Oreochromis niloticus: one gene and its partner. The protein of the gene in region 1 binds, or shares a complex with, the protein of each later gene. Links are inferred from orthologs where the notes say so. Each region holds a gene or a part of one and is shown on either strand. Other genes may lie near its edges.

The links.
Region 2: lsm11 (region 1) and lsm10 share a complex: the UniProt entries of both Homo sapiens proteins name them as parts of the heptameric ring U7 snRNP complex. The link is inferred for Oreochromis niloticus from reciprocal best matches to the Homo sapiens genes LSM11 and LSM10.

The regions. Positions count from the first base shown.
Region 1 is NC_031966.2:29,730,692-29,739,241, forward strand, and holds lsm11 (U7 snRNA-associated Sm-like protein LSm11), read left to right. Parts: upstream 1-5,457; 5' UTR 5,458-5,530; coding exon 5,531-5,984; intron 5,985-6,531; coding exon 6,532-6,671; intron 6,672-6,745; coding exon 6,746-6,829; intron 6,830-7,113; coding exon 7,114-7,452; 3' UTR 7,453-7,655; downstream 7,656-8,550. Other genes in the region: thg1l (putative tRNA(His) guanylyltransferase), read right to left, coding at 56-217, 2,139-2,246, 3,905-3,993, 4,076-4,245, 4,343-4,519, 4,607-4,794. UniProt on the Homo sapiens protein: Component of the U7 snRNP complex that is involved in the histone 3'-end pre-mRNA processing. Increases U7 snRNA levels but not histone 3'-end pre-mRNA processing activity, when overexpressed. Required for cell cycle progression from G1 to S phases.
Region 2 is NC_031985.2:13,742,900-13,751,103, reverse strand, and holds lsm10 (U7 snRNA-associated Sm-like protein LSm10), read right to left. Parts: upstream 3,230-8,204; 5' UTR 2,936-3,229; intron 1,713-2,935; 5' UTR 1,707-1,712; coding exon 1,284-1,706; 3' UTR 97-1,283; downstream 1-96. Other genes in the region: protein OSCP1a, read right to left, coding at 4,431-4,556, 4,805-4,865, 4,952-5,097, 7,345-7,399, 7,487-7,615. UniProt on the Homo sapiens protein: Appears to function in the U7 snRNP complex that is involved in histone 3'-end processing. Increases U7 snRNA levels but not histone 3'-end pre-mRNA processing activity, when overexpressed. Required for cell cycle progression from G1 to S phases.

The DNA of each region.
Region 1 (8,550 bases):
TACCTCTGAGGCCAGATGCATTCAGAGTTGTTCTCTTTCAACAGGAAAAGTTCGGTTAGCAGTTGTCATCCTCCAGGATGTCTGGGTGCTCCTCCCAGAACTGCTCTCCTATAAGGTCACAATGGTAGGCCTCTACCCTCCTCCTGCTGCGTGTGACGGGCATGTCCTTTTCCTCCCCATTTGGCAGCTTTATGCGTTTAATGATAGTCTCATCTCGCTAGATAAGAGAAATGAGAAAATTGATTAAAAGCAGTAGATAAGCAATCAGTCCGGTACCTAAACCTGGTAAAATCATTTTGTGAGATTTGGTTTTGAGTGCATTTAAAAAAAAACCTCAGAGGAGCTGGTGCAGAGTGATGCAACCTAACTTAAATTTCTATGTAAGCAGCATTTCCTGCAGTTAGTGTCAGATCTACATCCGGTGCCACAGCAAGTAGCAGCCTGACACACTACACATTACAGTGAGCTATACTTTGTTATTTATGTATACATTTGATCCTATGAAAATCTCTTCTGTCCTTTTCTTTGTTTTTTTGTGTGAGTTTAAATTTCCCTTTCAGGGGCACAACCAATAAGCATCTAACTGTGTAAATAAATGTCCTATTAAACCAAGGGAATTCTACTATTACATGAAAAAGACATTTCTAAAAATGGTTTCTTGTGATGTTAGTGGCAGAACTCTTTTCTCTTACACTCCATCCACAATGTGAGGTCATGTGCAATAAAAAAGTGTATGCAGCTTCTGACATTTCTCTTTCATGCACAACAACAGAACTACCAATAAAGGGGAAAAAAGGCAGTGTGGTGATTTTAATGTTTCAATCTCAGACTTCACTGCTTTTAACAGGAAGAAACACAGACACCATTTGAAAAAGTGAGCCGTTAGTGTGCTTAAACATGCAAAAGCAACCACAGACTATATAAAATATGGTCACACCCATGACCCACTGGTTTGTGAACTACTGTTTTGAGTTTGGGAGAGAGGCATTCTGACTGGTGTTATAAATCCTGATCTGACTAGCGAGGGGTGGATGTGACTGAGAAGAAAACTGATGTTGCACTATACAATAGCAATATATCAATCACAAGGCAGCCATTCTAAAATGCATACCCTGCTTTAACATCTATTTCACTGCAAATTCGGGAATAACTTAAAAAAAAATAAAACAATGTGTTATGTTAAGGTAGGACTTTCAAAGTTTCAAAAGCTGCAACTTTTACTTTGAAGGCAAATCTTCCCCCTATCCAATTTGCGTCACACTTTCTCAAGTTATTACTGTTACGCTAGTAGTTAGCAAAAGCTTGTGGACAAACATGAAGAACTGCAGGCAACCTTGGAAACCTGCTAGCAACCAAAGCAATCACTATGAGCTTTTGGGTGCAGCATCTTCTTTGCAATATTTCACCAAGGAAGAACCAGCAACCTCCAGGTACTCCACTGCCAACCAGTAGAAGAATACACATTTTCCCCTACTGGTCCAATATGGCAGACAAATCTTAAGCAATGTCTACATGATGTGAATGAGAAACCTCAAAACAAGGGAATTGATTTATTCAAGCACAAGAGTTGATCCTGCTGGCTATTTTAAAGAATGCAGGTTTTTAGGATTTTTTTTTTTTTTTTTTTACCTTGGATTCAATTTCCAGACTACAACAAACTTCTATGTACAGGTTCTGACGTCACCTCAAACTGTTAAAAGGTTTTGCCCTAACTATTTTCACACAAAAAATTGTTGGTGCATTGCCGCAGGTGGAGCAATTCATCTGGTTAATTCCAACAACAAACTCTGACATATTAACTAGGTACTGAACCCCCATGCAGACTGACTCCAATTTCTTACAGGGACACGTGGTGTTCATGCACATTAGATTAAGCAATAACAGGTCTCATGCCATGAATGTCCAGGGCTGCACATGTACCGCACTGAGTGGATCAGCGTGTCCCTGCACTTCACTGAGAGGCATACCTAACCCGATGAATGGCGGTGGGCGGACTGATCAAAATATTAATAGTATTGATACAAATGCCTGTATTGATATTTGCGTGATAGGATTAATTCTTTGTTTCTATCCTTTGAGTTTAGTAGATAGCCCACTGAATAGGGGGATAGATTTAAAACCCTTCTTGAGCACCTCACCTTTTCCCAGATGAGGGTGGTACCTTTCTTGTGGACGGCAGATTCATTGTTGTAGTTGATACCAAATTCTGTGAAGAGGATCTCATTTTTATCCCCAGCCAATGTTCCCTGAAAAAGGCAGAAATACTGTGAGACATCCAAACTTAGGTGTGTAGATACACAATCCCTCACATGGTCTTTAGATAGTACAGTTTTATAAAAAGCTACAACAAAAGCATGACAGGAACACCACCGCCCACCAAACCGCTGGTTATATATAGTGGCTCTGTTCCTTTTACTTCAGAATTAAAACTAGAAGAAAATCAACAAGAAATAAATAGTAAACCACTCAGTCATTTTTTGTTATTATTTGTTGTTGTTATTATTACGTAGGAATTATGAACCATGAATGTTGGATGAGGTGTAAATAAATAACTCATGCTGCCTAAACATCCACCCAAAACCCATCAGCTGGTTCCAGACAGCCCCCACAAGAATGAGGTGATTTCCAGAGGACAGCTGTGTCAGTCTGTAGCAGCTGTCATAGCTAGTGACAGACCTGTTCCTGTACACACTATTTTAATGCACAGGAATAAATTGTTCATAATGACGTAGCTGAAAGCTTACATCTTTTAAATAACCTCTTTGTTTACTTGGATAAAATATCAAAAATAGTACCTTGAAACCTTATCGGCCCCTAAAGCCAAGTGTTGTTTAAGTATATAAGTGATATTATTAAATGAAGAAAATGTGTTTTGTTTTTAGACTGAAATTTGATAGATGAATTTTTACAATTAAGGCATTCTTAGCTAACGAATCAACCAATTTATTCATTTTCACAGTCCGGGTAGGTAAGCATATTTTGGTTTATTACTTTTTGCCAGGTCATCTAAGTTTGTGTTGATGGATAGCTCTACTTGTTTGTTATTTTGGTCTCGGCTCACTCATTTTATACTCTGATTTTTGGGAAATCTGTTGTTCAATAAATATAACACTAATACATAAATGAAAACTTGTTCTTATGGCTACTTGGGACTCGGGGGAAGGGGATGCCTTTTTCATATTGTGCCAACTAGGGGCTCATCGTCTGTTTCCTAGCTTCGTGGTGGTTTGGTGAGTTATTTGTTTCTGGTTGGCAGTTTTCTATCGTGTGTGGGGAAATAATGTTTTCCTTTTCCTAATAGTTTTGTGACCTCACCTTCCTTCTAGGAAAAAATAGGAAAATGTTAAAAGGGCAGATTTGCTTACTGTGGCTAATTGACAATATTCAATACCCTAAATTAACCTTTTAATTTACAAGTAATAGATATTACATAACTATATCAGCACCAGCCATCACTACCACTAGCTTGTTTCTGATGCTGTTTAGAAGTCCAGAGACTAGTAGTTGAAAAGCTTTATACCTACCATAACATATCTGTAGCCAGAAAGAAAAAAATCACTCAGTATGGCAATCAATTATCCTTTATATGGAACATTTTGAGAGTTGTGAGCATTCACTGTTGTTTTTTTCTGACACATGATCAGCTGATATGGATCTACAAAACATGCTGCTGGAATCTATTGGTAGGTAGAAGCCAGTGTGTCTTCATTTGGGACATGGTACACTTTGAATACTGTGTGGAAGACCTTGAGTATAAGTGACAGTCTTTAACATATCCATGCTTACAACCTTAAATATGTGGGCATTGCCACATATGGTACCTTTTTCAAACACTTATATCTGTTAATAAGCACTTGCATCTGCCAGTTTACACCCAAACATACATTAATCAACTGTGTTTCACCTTTAAGCGATCCTCTGCCTGTGTTGTGCTGAGTCCTTTTCGTTGCACTAACATCCAAAACAGTGTGTTGTACAAATTATTGATGTGACCTGAAAAAAACAGAAACACAAGTGACATATTTCCATCACACCAAATGTGTGATTTACCATTCAGAGCATCATTTGCACTTACAGTCTGCCTGCCTCCAGCTAAGGTAGTCTCTAAGGTTACGATTGCTTGGATATAGGACCACACGTCCGTCAAATCCCGGAGGGTACAGGAGGGGCTGATTCTCAAAAAACTCCTTCCAGTAAAACACGTACGAGGAGGAGAACTGGGAGGCGACGTGGGTCATGAGCTTACTGTAAGGAAAAGAGGGGACAAAATATAGTCAGACAAAATGCTAGAGGAGGTCTGTGTGAAAATGTTGTTGATCAACATTATGTAAAACATCAGCACCTGGCTCTTCTTTTGAACCAGGTAGAAGATCGCTTGAAAACAAAGCTGAACTCATCACTTTGGCCATAGGCAATGACAATGTCCTCCAGTTCTTCCATGACAGAGCGTGCGCTCTTTCTCATCAGCCCCAAGGCCCTGTCGTCATTGGGCTTTGCAAACTTGTGCTGCTCTGCAAACCTGAAACACATAATGCATGAAGACGCCAAAACAACAATGTGGATTCAAAAAGCTCCCGGTGTTTTAGCGCAAATGAAGAATACTCACTTGTGAAAATTGCGACCATCCAGTCTCACGACAATGTAGCAGTTCCGCAGACAGGTGTCATCTGCTTCGAAGTTGCGCACATACTCAAACTTACTTTTGGCCATGTTACTGGATCTGGAGAAAAGACGGACCGAAGGTGTAAGAGCACAGCACCAAACACCAAATCTGCTCGCTGTACTAATTAGCATTGGGATGCTCCTGAAGACAAAGCACAAGGAGCGAAAATTATATGTCAACAGTGGGAAAATATTCAGTCAAACGGAGAACAATTACTATGATATACAAAACTAAATTCAATAACTTCAAATGATGTTAAGTGTTATGATTAAAATGATCTGTGTTATACGTATGTCAGTTCTCTATTTATTGAACTTTACTTACTATTTACGAATGAATGTCATGTGTGGTGTTAGCCTTCTACACAGACAGCTAACCTTTTGAAAGCCCTTCGATAGCTACGTGGTAAATTGCACCAACAGCAATATTCGAATTGAATAAGTTAATATCTAAACTAAATATATCTAAATAATAAGAATAATTCTCTTCCGCACATTCAAACACGTTGGTTTGTATACAGTCCGCCCAGAAATTGTGTCGTAGCGGAACCACAATCACCCGGAACACAAATTTTCGGAGCTACGGTAGACTTAAAATAAAACGCAAATAATTTCCGGTTTCTTCTAGCCACCTTAAAAATAATGCTTCAATTTTCAAATTTTTTTGGATGCTGTGCTGAATAATTTTTTAAAGATTTTTAAAGATTTTACGAAAGTAATTTGCTTTCTAGCGCCATCTTGTGCCTAAACAGAAACTAAACTAGATACTGTACATATACGAGGTTATGGGACTTGTAGTCCAGTTGCTAAACACGACAAAAAATACCCAGAATTCCTCGCTTTATACACTTCTGCGGTTGTTTTGAACATGGAGGAGAGGGAAAAAAGAAGTGTAAATTCAGACAGTAAGGAGACGTTGTCAGCACCCTGCTCCAGCCCGGCCTCAGCGCCGGAGGCTGATAGTAAAGCTGAGGACGGTGGCGCAGTTAAACTGGACGTCTGCTCGGATAAGTTTGATCCACTCTTGGCCTTGTACTCACCGGCAGTGCAGCTTCCCTTCCCAAACATCAAGTGCTTCAACAACGTGGCCGAGTACGAGAGCTTTCTGAAGGGCGGCCGCGGGAGAGCCAAACCGGAGAACGTGGAGAAAAGGCAGCGTAAGGCGATGAAAGGCGTGGTGGACCTGGAGCGCATCGAGAGGCTGAAGAAACTCATGGTGAACAACCCGGTGTCTGAGTCAGAGGAGGGAGAAAGCAGCAGCGGCACGACGCGGAGGAAGAGGAGGCAGAAACCTGTGAAAAATGTCCTGACGAGAATGCCCCGTAGGTTCAACACCCATCGTGTAATGTGTTGGAGACCTAGTCCCGCCTGGGCCGTTTCACTGAGCCGCTTTAAACTTTAAAGGAGAGCCTAGAATACGACATTTGTATTTATTAGAATACACTACGAACTGACAGACTACTCCAAATAAACTGACAAATAAAATAAAATGTCCCAGTAAAATAGGACTACTGGAGTAATAAAGAGGCAGAATGGCTTCAGTATTGGTTGTTAGGTTCCTACCTGTGGCTTACGAATACCCTTAACCCCTTTGCCCCCAATAAAATGAAAACCACATTACAACATTACACACACACACACACATACATATGTGTGTGTGTGTGTATGTATATATATATATATATATATATATATATATATATATATATATATATATATATATATGTATATTCATTTTAAAATTATTTTTATTCATAATTTTAGCATTACTTGTTACTTTAAAGAAACCTCTGTTTTAGCTGAATTCCCTGTATCATTTATTATAATACGCAGAAGCAGCTGTGCGACCTGCTTGTCTTGTGTTTTCAGTGTGTAAAGGCAGTCCTCTGGGGGAGCTGTACCGCTGCGTGGAGGAGAGGATAAGAGTCAAAGTTCACGTCAGGACTTTCAAAGGTCTGAGGGGAGTGTGCGCTGGCTTTGTCGTGGCCTTCGACAAGTTCTGGAACCTGGTCAGTGATCTCATGTTGTATTCTTGAACTAGGCAAATTTCGTATCTTCACCGTTGGTTATCTCTCGCTGACAGGCGATGGTGGATGTGGATGAAACTTACAGAGAGCCTCTGTTTGGAGAGGCTTTCTATCATGAGAAAGCCCTCACCACTACACGGGTAATGGATGAGTTTTCATTCTATATATGACTAAAATTTTGTCCTTCAATTTTCTAAGGAAAGCTAGAAACATTTAGAAGTTTCTAATGACTACTTCATAATAAAAGCTATCTGTGCTTTGCTGATTAAATGCTTACAAGTGAGCTGACAGTAGTATTGCTGGCTTAAATTGTAAAGGTCTTTTTACATTTATCCCTCTTTAGCTCTTACACAGCACTCGGAGCGCTTTTATGTGGTTCAGTTTGATGAAAGTCTTAAGAATGATCAAATCTTTGTATTTCCAGCTTTTTGAGAAGCTAAGTCTCCAGGAAACCTCTGAATGTGCTGAGTCGGTGAAGAAGCAGCCTGCAGATTCTCCCAAAGAGACTCCAGAAAGTTCTGGAGTCTCTTTGGCAAGTTCTCATGCCGTTGGTGTGAGAGGAGACGGCAGGACAGCAGACTCCAAGCTGTCAGAAGCTGCTGAAACCGAAAAGGACGCACACAAAACACTGCTCATGGTCCAGAGTCCACAGACTCGCCAGAAGAAAGAAACCAAGACGTATGGTAAGGTCCATACGCGCCACATCAACCAGCTGTTCATCCGTGGTGAGAATGTCATCCTGGTTAACCCCCAGCCGCTCTGATTTTCACTCTTACATTGATCCCGGGCAACAAAGCAGGGGTTTTTTGGAGCATCTGCGCTAACTGGTACTGACAAATTATAGCAATTCAGAAGGATCGCAGACTGATGATTTATATCATATTGATATGGAGGTTTGTCTCTGCCCACCAGAGAAATGATTTTGCTTTTGATAAATAAAAGCGTTCCAGTTGTAATTACAGAAAAGTGTGTTTGTGTGTGTTTTGTTTTTGCCTGTTTAGTTTATTTGACACCCTGTAAAGGAAACCCAGTGAAATGCCTGTCTCCCAGCAGGTGGCACCATAAACACACCAGAGCCATCGAACACGCCATTGTCATCTCAAAGAGCTTGTCCCTTTATGTTGCATTTCCCCGCTAGTTTGAATGGGAATGACAGTGCAGTCTCAGCGGACTTCATAAATGCATTATGAATAATTGAGTTTGTGAAGCTCGAGATTGCAGATGGCACTCAAAAGCTGTCATTTGTCTTGACGTCTTAGATTGCTTTTACTCTTTAATGGGCACATTACCCATAAAAGCACGATTTACTGCATCTCTTAGAAGTTGTAAAGATGTTGCTTTTTTTTTTTCCTTTTTAAATGACAGAGGTTAGTTTTGGATGATGAGTGGCACAGAACGACCGTCGCTGCAATGTTTCTGGGTCTGCGTCAGATTTCTTTCTGCATTTCAGCTTCTCTTAATTTGTTTAGAGACTGACCCTCTTTCCATATATTTTATGTCATAAGTGGGGCATGTTCTATGAGTAAGGTGAGCTTTTATTCATTTACTGTATATAACGTTACTTTTCATATAATGTATCAGAATATTATTAGTGTAGCCCATTTAAAAGGCCTCTCCAGAGAGGAAAAAAATGGGGTCAATTGTTTAATGCAAGCTGTGTTTGTCACAAAAGTGTGTTCCAACAATCCCTGATGCAGTGTGAGCAGGGCACAGTACTGATTGTGTGGTCTAATTGTGGCAACAACTGCAACATCTGTCTCTTGCGTGTGTTATACCAGAGTAATGAGGCCATCACTTGCACTGGGAGAGACTATAAATTTGACAAATAAAAGAATCCAGTGCTTCCCTAACTGTAACACCA
Region 2 (8,204 bases), on another chromosome or scaffold:
AACTGTGGGAGAAGTTAACTAATGCTTAAATCCCGCTAAAGGGAAACCTACTTAAAAAAAAGAAGTAGGGGGCCAAAATAAACAAGCTGCAACCTCCGGCAGTGGAAAAATGGAGCCTCTAGTTGCTCCAAAAGCGAGTCAAATCTCATAACACCCCCATGTTTAAATTTCCTCCTTTATAACAACAGTGTGGAAGTGACCTTTGTTTTAGCTGATCTGTCTAGTGAGTTAAAAGCATGGCTGCTTGCATTGACAGGTGTGTCACAGGCAGCTGTATCTCACTGGTGTTATAATAGCTACATCCACCTTCTATATACAGTCTACGCTCAGAACCAGAGACAGGAAGATTGTTGTTAGGCTGCAGGAAAGTGTCACAATAAAGTGGGAACACACCAAAAAATGTAGGTGTCCAGATTCTGCAAATGAGGTGTAGAAAATACTATAAAAATTAGGAGAAATGTATGATATTCTGTATTTTTGCTATTTAGTACAAATATGAGGAGGTGCACCTTAAAAGGCACAAAAAGTGACTGCTTTATGGTATTCTCTATGCTTAAGAGAATAAGCATAGAGAATGCAGAAACAGTGCTCTTCACTGTTTCTAAGTCAGCAAAATATGAGAGAAGCTGTGGCGTCATTTAAGTTAAACCCTTTGTGCAAAAGAGGATCTATACCTTAGTTGTTATAATTATATTCAAAAAGATTTCACTTTATTTTCAGATGGATTTGATGTTTGTTTTTTTTGTTTTTTTTACCATTTTCATCATGTCTCATTTAAAAATCCCCCAAAATAGTTTGGTTGAGATAAAAAAAGACATAACAAAGAGCTTCTTTGAGTTGATTCAAGGAAAATGCATCAATTAATCCAAGAAATAATCCGCAATGTATTAAAAAGAATTGTTACAGTGTTTACGTAGGAAAAAAATCAGTCTGTGGAGTTTTATTTTTAAACATTTAAACAATTTACTGATATCAGCCTCCAAATACTCCAGCCTTTCGAGTTTGTGATCCTTACAAGAAATCAAACCCAGATTGTGGTCTTTCATCCCAGGTTCGAAGCAGTTCAGTTTTTATAGCACTAAAGACAGTTTCCAGTATTTTACAACGAAAAGGAGGACTGTAACTATGTCTTACTGTACCTGAGATCTCTCTCCCTGTTCTTCTCCCTGGAGTCACTTTGTGGGCCCTCAAGATGTAAACTACTGGTCTAGACTGGTGTTTGTCCTCTAATCTCTGAACCTTACACAAGCAGCGTCTTTTCCAAATTTAAAAAAAAAAAAAAGTCATTTTGTTTTCTTGGCAAACTCTTTCCTGCCTCCGCCTTCACTGCCGAAGTTGCGTACGCGGTGAATCTTGGCCAGCTGGCTCTCTATGGTCTTCATTATGTCCATATGGTCGGGGATGTGGACATAGCGGATGTTCCTGCCAGTGATGAATAGGTCCTGCAGCTGTGTGAGCTGACCCCGCCGGTCCCGGTACAACACGTCCTCTAGGCGTATGTTCATGAAGGCATCTACGTTGACCACGCGTCCACGGGCTGTGCTCTCGTTCCTCAGGTCCACTGTGGTCACCTCTCCCTGAAGGCCCTGCAGGAGGATCACCATGCTGTTCTCTGTGATTGTTCGCTCCCGAATAGAGTTCACCACCTCAACCGGCCCCACGGTGGATGGCTGAGACTCAGCCCCCTTGGACTCCATAGGATCCATAGACACCTGCAGAAAAGCAGAAGATTGATAACTTTGGATTAGAGTCTGTCATACAGTGTTGGTACCTGAGACTTGTTTCTGTGGTTTACTGATTCTGACCTTGAAGCAATAAAGCAAAAATGAGCAAAAACTTGCACACTTTGTGGACAGAATATTAGAATCCGAAAATGAGAAAACACAGGAACATGTCAAATAGAAAATGTCCTGCACAGCTTAAATGCGATTTATCTCATATGTCACAAACCAAACCTGGATTTAATAAAGGTCAGACGACTCAGAGGCTGTGGTCAAATTGTTAAAAAAAATTCCCTCCCTCCATCTTTTCTTAATCACTTCTCTGATTGAAAATAAGGTCAAGGAAGAAGAATTTCTAAGGACTTAGGAAAAGAGCAGCATGCCCAGACAATCTGACTGCATTGACGTTAGAGCCTCTTAGGCGGTTAATGGGGCTCTACTGAAACTGCAATGTAGGGACCACAAAAAGGCTGTCTTAGATACTTTCTTACTGCATTTTTTTTTAATGGAGCTCACAAAAAAACACATAAAAAGAATGAAGTGAGATTAAATGTTTCCAGTCTTATTTTCTTTATCTGCTGGAGAGATGATCCAATGTAACTCTGGAAACTGTTACAAGTTCTGAGGAAAAAACAAAATAATTTTATCCCTCTGTCACTTATTAAAAATCGGGATCAATACGAGCTAACCTGACGTAAAGACAATTAATGGTAATCCTAATTGTCAAAACAACTACTACTTCTCCTTTTTTTCAGCAGCTCACTATCACTGCTAACCTGCCTTCATCTAATCCTATCCCCGTCACCACCAACTATCAGCATGTCCTCCTTCACCACATGAATCCTTTGAGGTCTTCCACTTTTCCGCCTGCCTGGCAGCTCCATATTCAGCATCTTTTGTCCAATATAGCCACCATCCCTCCTCTGCACATATCCAACCCACGTCAGCCCCCTCCTGCCTCACTGTCACATCAGCTTCTCATTCAGACACACGTAGTCTGTTTTGCTTCTTGTGACTATCATACCTCTTTACCGCATTTTCTTTAATGGTCCAAAAACACTTTCATGTTTGGCTTTCAAATTAACCCCAGAATATGCACATTACAACCGAATACAAATGATAATACAGAAGATATAGTGTCATATAGTGCAGTGTAATCTTAACTTTAACTTAACCTACAGAAAACCTAAAAACACGTGTAACATGACGCTTACGTTTGTGTCTGCAGGCTTAAAGTTAGTCTTCTCTGTTAGCTTTTCTTTTTTAGCGTTTCCTTAGCTTTAGCAGCGACTAAATAAAGCTCCAAAATGCGTAAAACATGAGTGTAAATCAAAGCTTCTCCCTCCGCTGTTGTCTGTAACATTTACCTGAATTATTTAAACACAGTTTTTATGTGGAAACGAAACACCGGCCTGCAGAAACCTCTCAAAACATGTCAACAGGTTCGTTTTCCCACAAAAACCCGACGGAGGAGCAGCGACGTGATGACGTTTCACCATCGTCTTTGCGTCAACCGTTTAGAAAAAAAAACAAAAAAAAAACTTTATTCACAACTAGCTTTAATACAGTGTAATCCAGGACATAAATGAGGAACCCGACAACAGGTTTCCCTGCGTCATCACAGCAACATTATTTTTCACATATATGCTGGATTTTTTTTCAGCAAAGTATATATTAACAAATTTGCTCGCTGGAGTGTAAAATTTTATTAATTAAGCGAAAATTCTACTGACAGATTTAGAACATCATAAAATTCCCCATATAAACCCACACAAAACAAATACATTAAAAATGTTAATCTTAAATGTGTTTAAATTGGTGTTTTTGTTTGTTTTGTTTTTGGATAAATTCAAGTTATACATAAAATCTTCAAAACTACTTAAAGGAAAAATCATACGATATTCTAAACTGTTTTTCCCACCATTGCCATTGTATGCGTGTATGACTCTTTTATTTAATAGTACACCTTGCTGAAAGGATGATGCTCAATGATCTTATGCCAACATGAACGTTTATACTCACTGCTCTGTTCCCTTTTTGTAATTCACTGCACCTTATTGGATTCATACAGTACTAGTTGTCATATTTAAAATATAAGTATTAAAAAATAAATAAATAAAAAGCCGGATAAACAAAGAGCAAAGGCTCCGAATCAAAGAAACCTTCATGAGATTGTTCTTTTCTTACAAAGCCAAGACAACAGCACCCCCTACAGGTTGCTGCTGCAGAAACGAAATCGTCTCAATGAACATTTATTTTCATTATCCAAATAATAATTTATAGGTTATTTAAATTAGTACTTGTTCCTCTCAAAAATCACATAAATATGAGTCCAAGGTCGTGTCCAATTAGATGTCTTATTTAAAAATTTGATCAATCCTTTTCATTTAATTTCTTCCCAGCAACATTTGCAACTCATTTTGTTTTACAGCATGTAAACACGAGCCAGCCTAATCATTTCAATATAAATAAATACTTTTATTTAACATTAAATTGTTAAAAAGAAAATAAAACCTCAAACACAGCAGGTGTTACAGTTTAACATCCAAGTCAGTTCAGCTGCATTATAAACATAGAAAGCAGTTTCTGTCTATTGTGTCTGTGTTATAATGTTGAGTTCTTGCATCTGTTTCATTGAATACTCCATCTCCAGCTCACAGTGGAGATTAACCATCCGATCATCATACAACCACAGACTGAATAAATGAGTCAGAGGTCGTCCATCATGGCCAGGAGCTCTTCTCCCTTGTTGTTGCTGGGTTTTTCAGGTTTCTCTTCTTTTTCTTCTGCAAACTGTCCAGCGATGCGAGCCAACTCCAATGCCGCCTGCTCATCCTGAACCAAAAACTTGGATTAAGTTCATCACAGATGTTTTAAGAGAGACATGGCAGCCATAACAACAGTCCAGAGAGTAGCCAGACACTCACACTAACACACTTTTTTTGCCAGATTTTCTGTTTATATTGTTAGGTTTGTTCACGTGCTCAGCAGTTGCCTTTTTTTAAGTCAAACTAAACTGTTTTCTTGACTGTGGTTTAGTTTTAGTTCACTGAAATACCCCAGCACAGTCTGCATGATCGTACCTGCATTGCTTGAATATTTATCACTCCATACAAGGATTCCTCAGCACTAGCTGACGCTCCTCTGTGAAACAAGATAAAAAGGCCTTGATGAGGGAATTTATGTTAATGTAACAACAGGGAATGAAAATAGAAAAGAAGAACACCCACGCTTCCTCCTCCTCCTCGTCTGTGTTAAACAGGTTGATTCGAAAACCCGATTCATCTTTGGGCTTGTTCTCCGTCTTCATGCTGCCCATTAGACGAGCCAGCAGGTTCAGCTCCTCCTTCGCCAGCGGGTTGGGAGAGCCGTCTGTCTGCAGCACGATGGAGGTGCAGAGGCAGGTTATAACAGAGCTGTGAAAAAAGTATTTCCCCCCTTTCTGATCTTTTTTTATAATTACTATACTTATATGTTTCAGGTCATCAAACAAATTTTAATAATAGAGAAAGAGAACCAGACTAAATACAAGATGCAGTTTTTAAATTATATAATTTATTAATGGAAAAACATTCTCCAATGCTACCTGGCCCTCTGAAAATTCCCCCTAAACCCAATAACTGGTGGCACCTCTGTTGGCAGCAAGAACTACAATCAAGCGTTTGATTGAAAATGACTCTTTCACGTCCCTGTGGAGGAATTTTGGCCCAATCTTCCTCCTTACAGAGATGTTTTTAATTCAGCCGAACTGGAGGATTTTCAAGAAAGAACAGCCTGTTTAAGGTTCAGGGCAAGAAATGATAGCTGGAGAGTCTCCTTCAGGTTTTTTTTGTAGAAATCAGAATTCACGGTTCCACCAGTTTTGGCAAATCATCCAGCAAAGCTCCCTCAGACCATCACGCTACCACCACCATGTCTGACTGTTGGCATGATGTTCCTTTTAATAAAATGCTGTTAGTTTTACACCAGATGTAACGGCATGCAAACCTTAAAAAAATTTCAGCTTCTTTCTCATTATCAAGATGTTTTTGGCAAATGTGAGAAGAGCCTGCGTGTTCTTTTTGGTCAGCGTTTTTTTTTTTCTCTCATGGATGCCAGTTTGGTCCACTCTGAAACAAGCGAGCCCTGCAGTTCTTTAGATGTGGTTCTGGAGTCCTTTTGCAATTAATGCGCTCCTGGGAAGTTTCACAACTGTTCCAAGTTTTCTCTATTTGTGGATAATGGTTCAGGAAAGGAGCAAATACTTTTTCATGTATACTTGTATACAAGTATACATGCAAAACTGAAGAAGTTTTGCATGTATACAAGATGTATTTCTGCTTAAGGGGGCACATCTGAGCTCTTACTATCAGGGGAAGGATAAATGCGCTGGTGGTGCTGCATAGCTGAGTTTTATTACTTTGCATAAAATGCTCTATTACAACTTAGCAAGGTTTCAAACATTATTAATGTTAATATTGACTAATTAAACATTACGCTGTCTAACCAGCCGTTTAATGTTGACATGGTGATAGTATAAACAGACACAAACATTCACAGTTACTGAGAAACACTATTATTTATTATTTTTGACTTCATTAATCTGATTGCCATCTTCTCTTTGTACAACAGTAGCACTGAGGTGTGGTTTCCTGGCTCAGCTGAAGAAGACAGGAAACCACAGTAGTGTGGTTTGGGCACACCTGTCTTACACACCCAATTAAGCTCTTCTTTTATAGAAGGTGTGAGGCTGTAGACAGACACACAATGATGAGCCTACAGCAGTGAGACGTTTTGAACAGCGGGGCAAGTGAGGTGAGTTTAAGTGTATTTGCAAAAAGTGTGTCAATAAAGAACAGCATGTGCAAACCACAGGGAACGGGCCACTGCCATAACAGCATTTACCAGCATTTACTGTGCATCAATGTCCAGGCAAGCAGGAATTTCTGGAGCTAATATACAAAGCCAACACAGAAATACAAAACAAACTAAAGTTCCTTGAGTGGCCACTTGAGGCAAGCTGCAAAAATGAGTGAATCCCTGCAGACCTCCATTAAAAAATATCCAAATTTACAGCATTTAAATGCATGTTCACAGCCTGGTATAAAAAGTGATTTGGAGGCACATGGACAGTTTCCCACTCCATAACAAATGTATGTTGGGTTCCTTTGGTGTAAATAACATATAATAATATATTGATATATCACGTATACGTCTGTTTTTTGGGTTTATTGCTGCAGCTAGATAACCTTAGCTAACTTGGTGCCCCACCATCTGATCCAAAAATGGTCACTTCTGTCTCCAAAAAACACTAGGAAGCATCAGGTTAGCGGACAGTACTAGATACTAGTGGAAAAGTGTGTGTGTGAAAGTGGTGCAACCGCGCGGTGGATATTTTTCTCAGCACACTTTGAGCCCCTTGGCGCCACCTGAGCATCCTTTAAACACCACTATCAAAAGTAAATATCACCTTGTAGGAAAAAAACTCCACATGATATGATTTGCTATTATTGCTTAAACATCATTTCATGGTTTCACAACAGCAAGAGCTCAGGTGTAGTTCAGGAAAATATTAAGTTATATTTTATATATCACCAACCATAACTGTAAAATGAAATCCGTGACCTCCCTGACATGTTATTACCTTTACAGAGGGAGCCCTGGACGTGTGTGTCTCCTCTGGATGGTCCACAGTGTACCTTTAAGTCACGAAACACAGCAGTGTCACCCACAGGTTCATCAGTGTGTGTGTTCACCATCTAGTGTCCAGCAGCATATTTACATACATGTTCATGCCCAGTCTGATCACTCTGTTTCCATGCAGCTCGAAAGACCCCTCTCTGATGGAGCTGGTGTAACTCCCTCCAGAGGGGAACTCCCTTCGTCTCACTTCTCTGCCGCGACAGTCAAATATCCTTTGAAAACAGGAAACAGATGGCGACACTCTGGATTGTGGACACATTTTTTTAAGAAAATTGAAAGTTGGGATAGGTCAGCCTTTTGGCGGTGACTTCAGAGCTGCATCAGACCACCAGGCCACATCTAGTGCCGTTAATGAAGTGGCAGATGTGAAACCAGGCTCAGTGTATAAACATTGACAGTAGAAATTCATTCTGCTTATAATGTCTAAACTTGAATTAGAATCAAATATGTGATAAAGACACTGAGAATCTGACAAACAATGGCAGACTGTCTAAAGACATTAATAAAGTGTGTATTAGTTTGCATGAATGATGCATACAGCACATGCTTTTAATCAGCACTCATGTAAAAATATCACATTGTAGAAGTAAAGGGATACGTGGTACAGTGACAGGAGGTGCTTTTCTGATTCAACAAAGACAAACAAAGTTTATATTTTGGTCTTTTTTGTGCTTATTTTTCATTGTTAACGAAATAATCCAAAGAAATTAGTGAAAGACTTTTGAAATGGCTGCTTTGAAGTCTTTTGATATGGTCACTTTGGCACACTCAAGACACATATGGGCCAAAGCGCAGATCTGA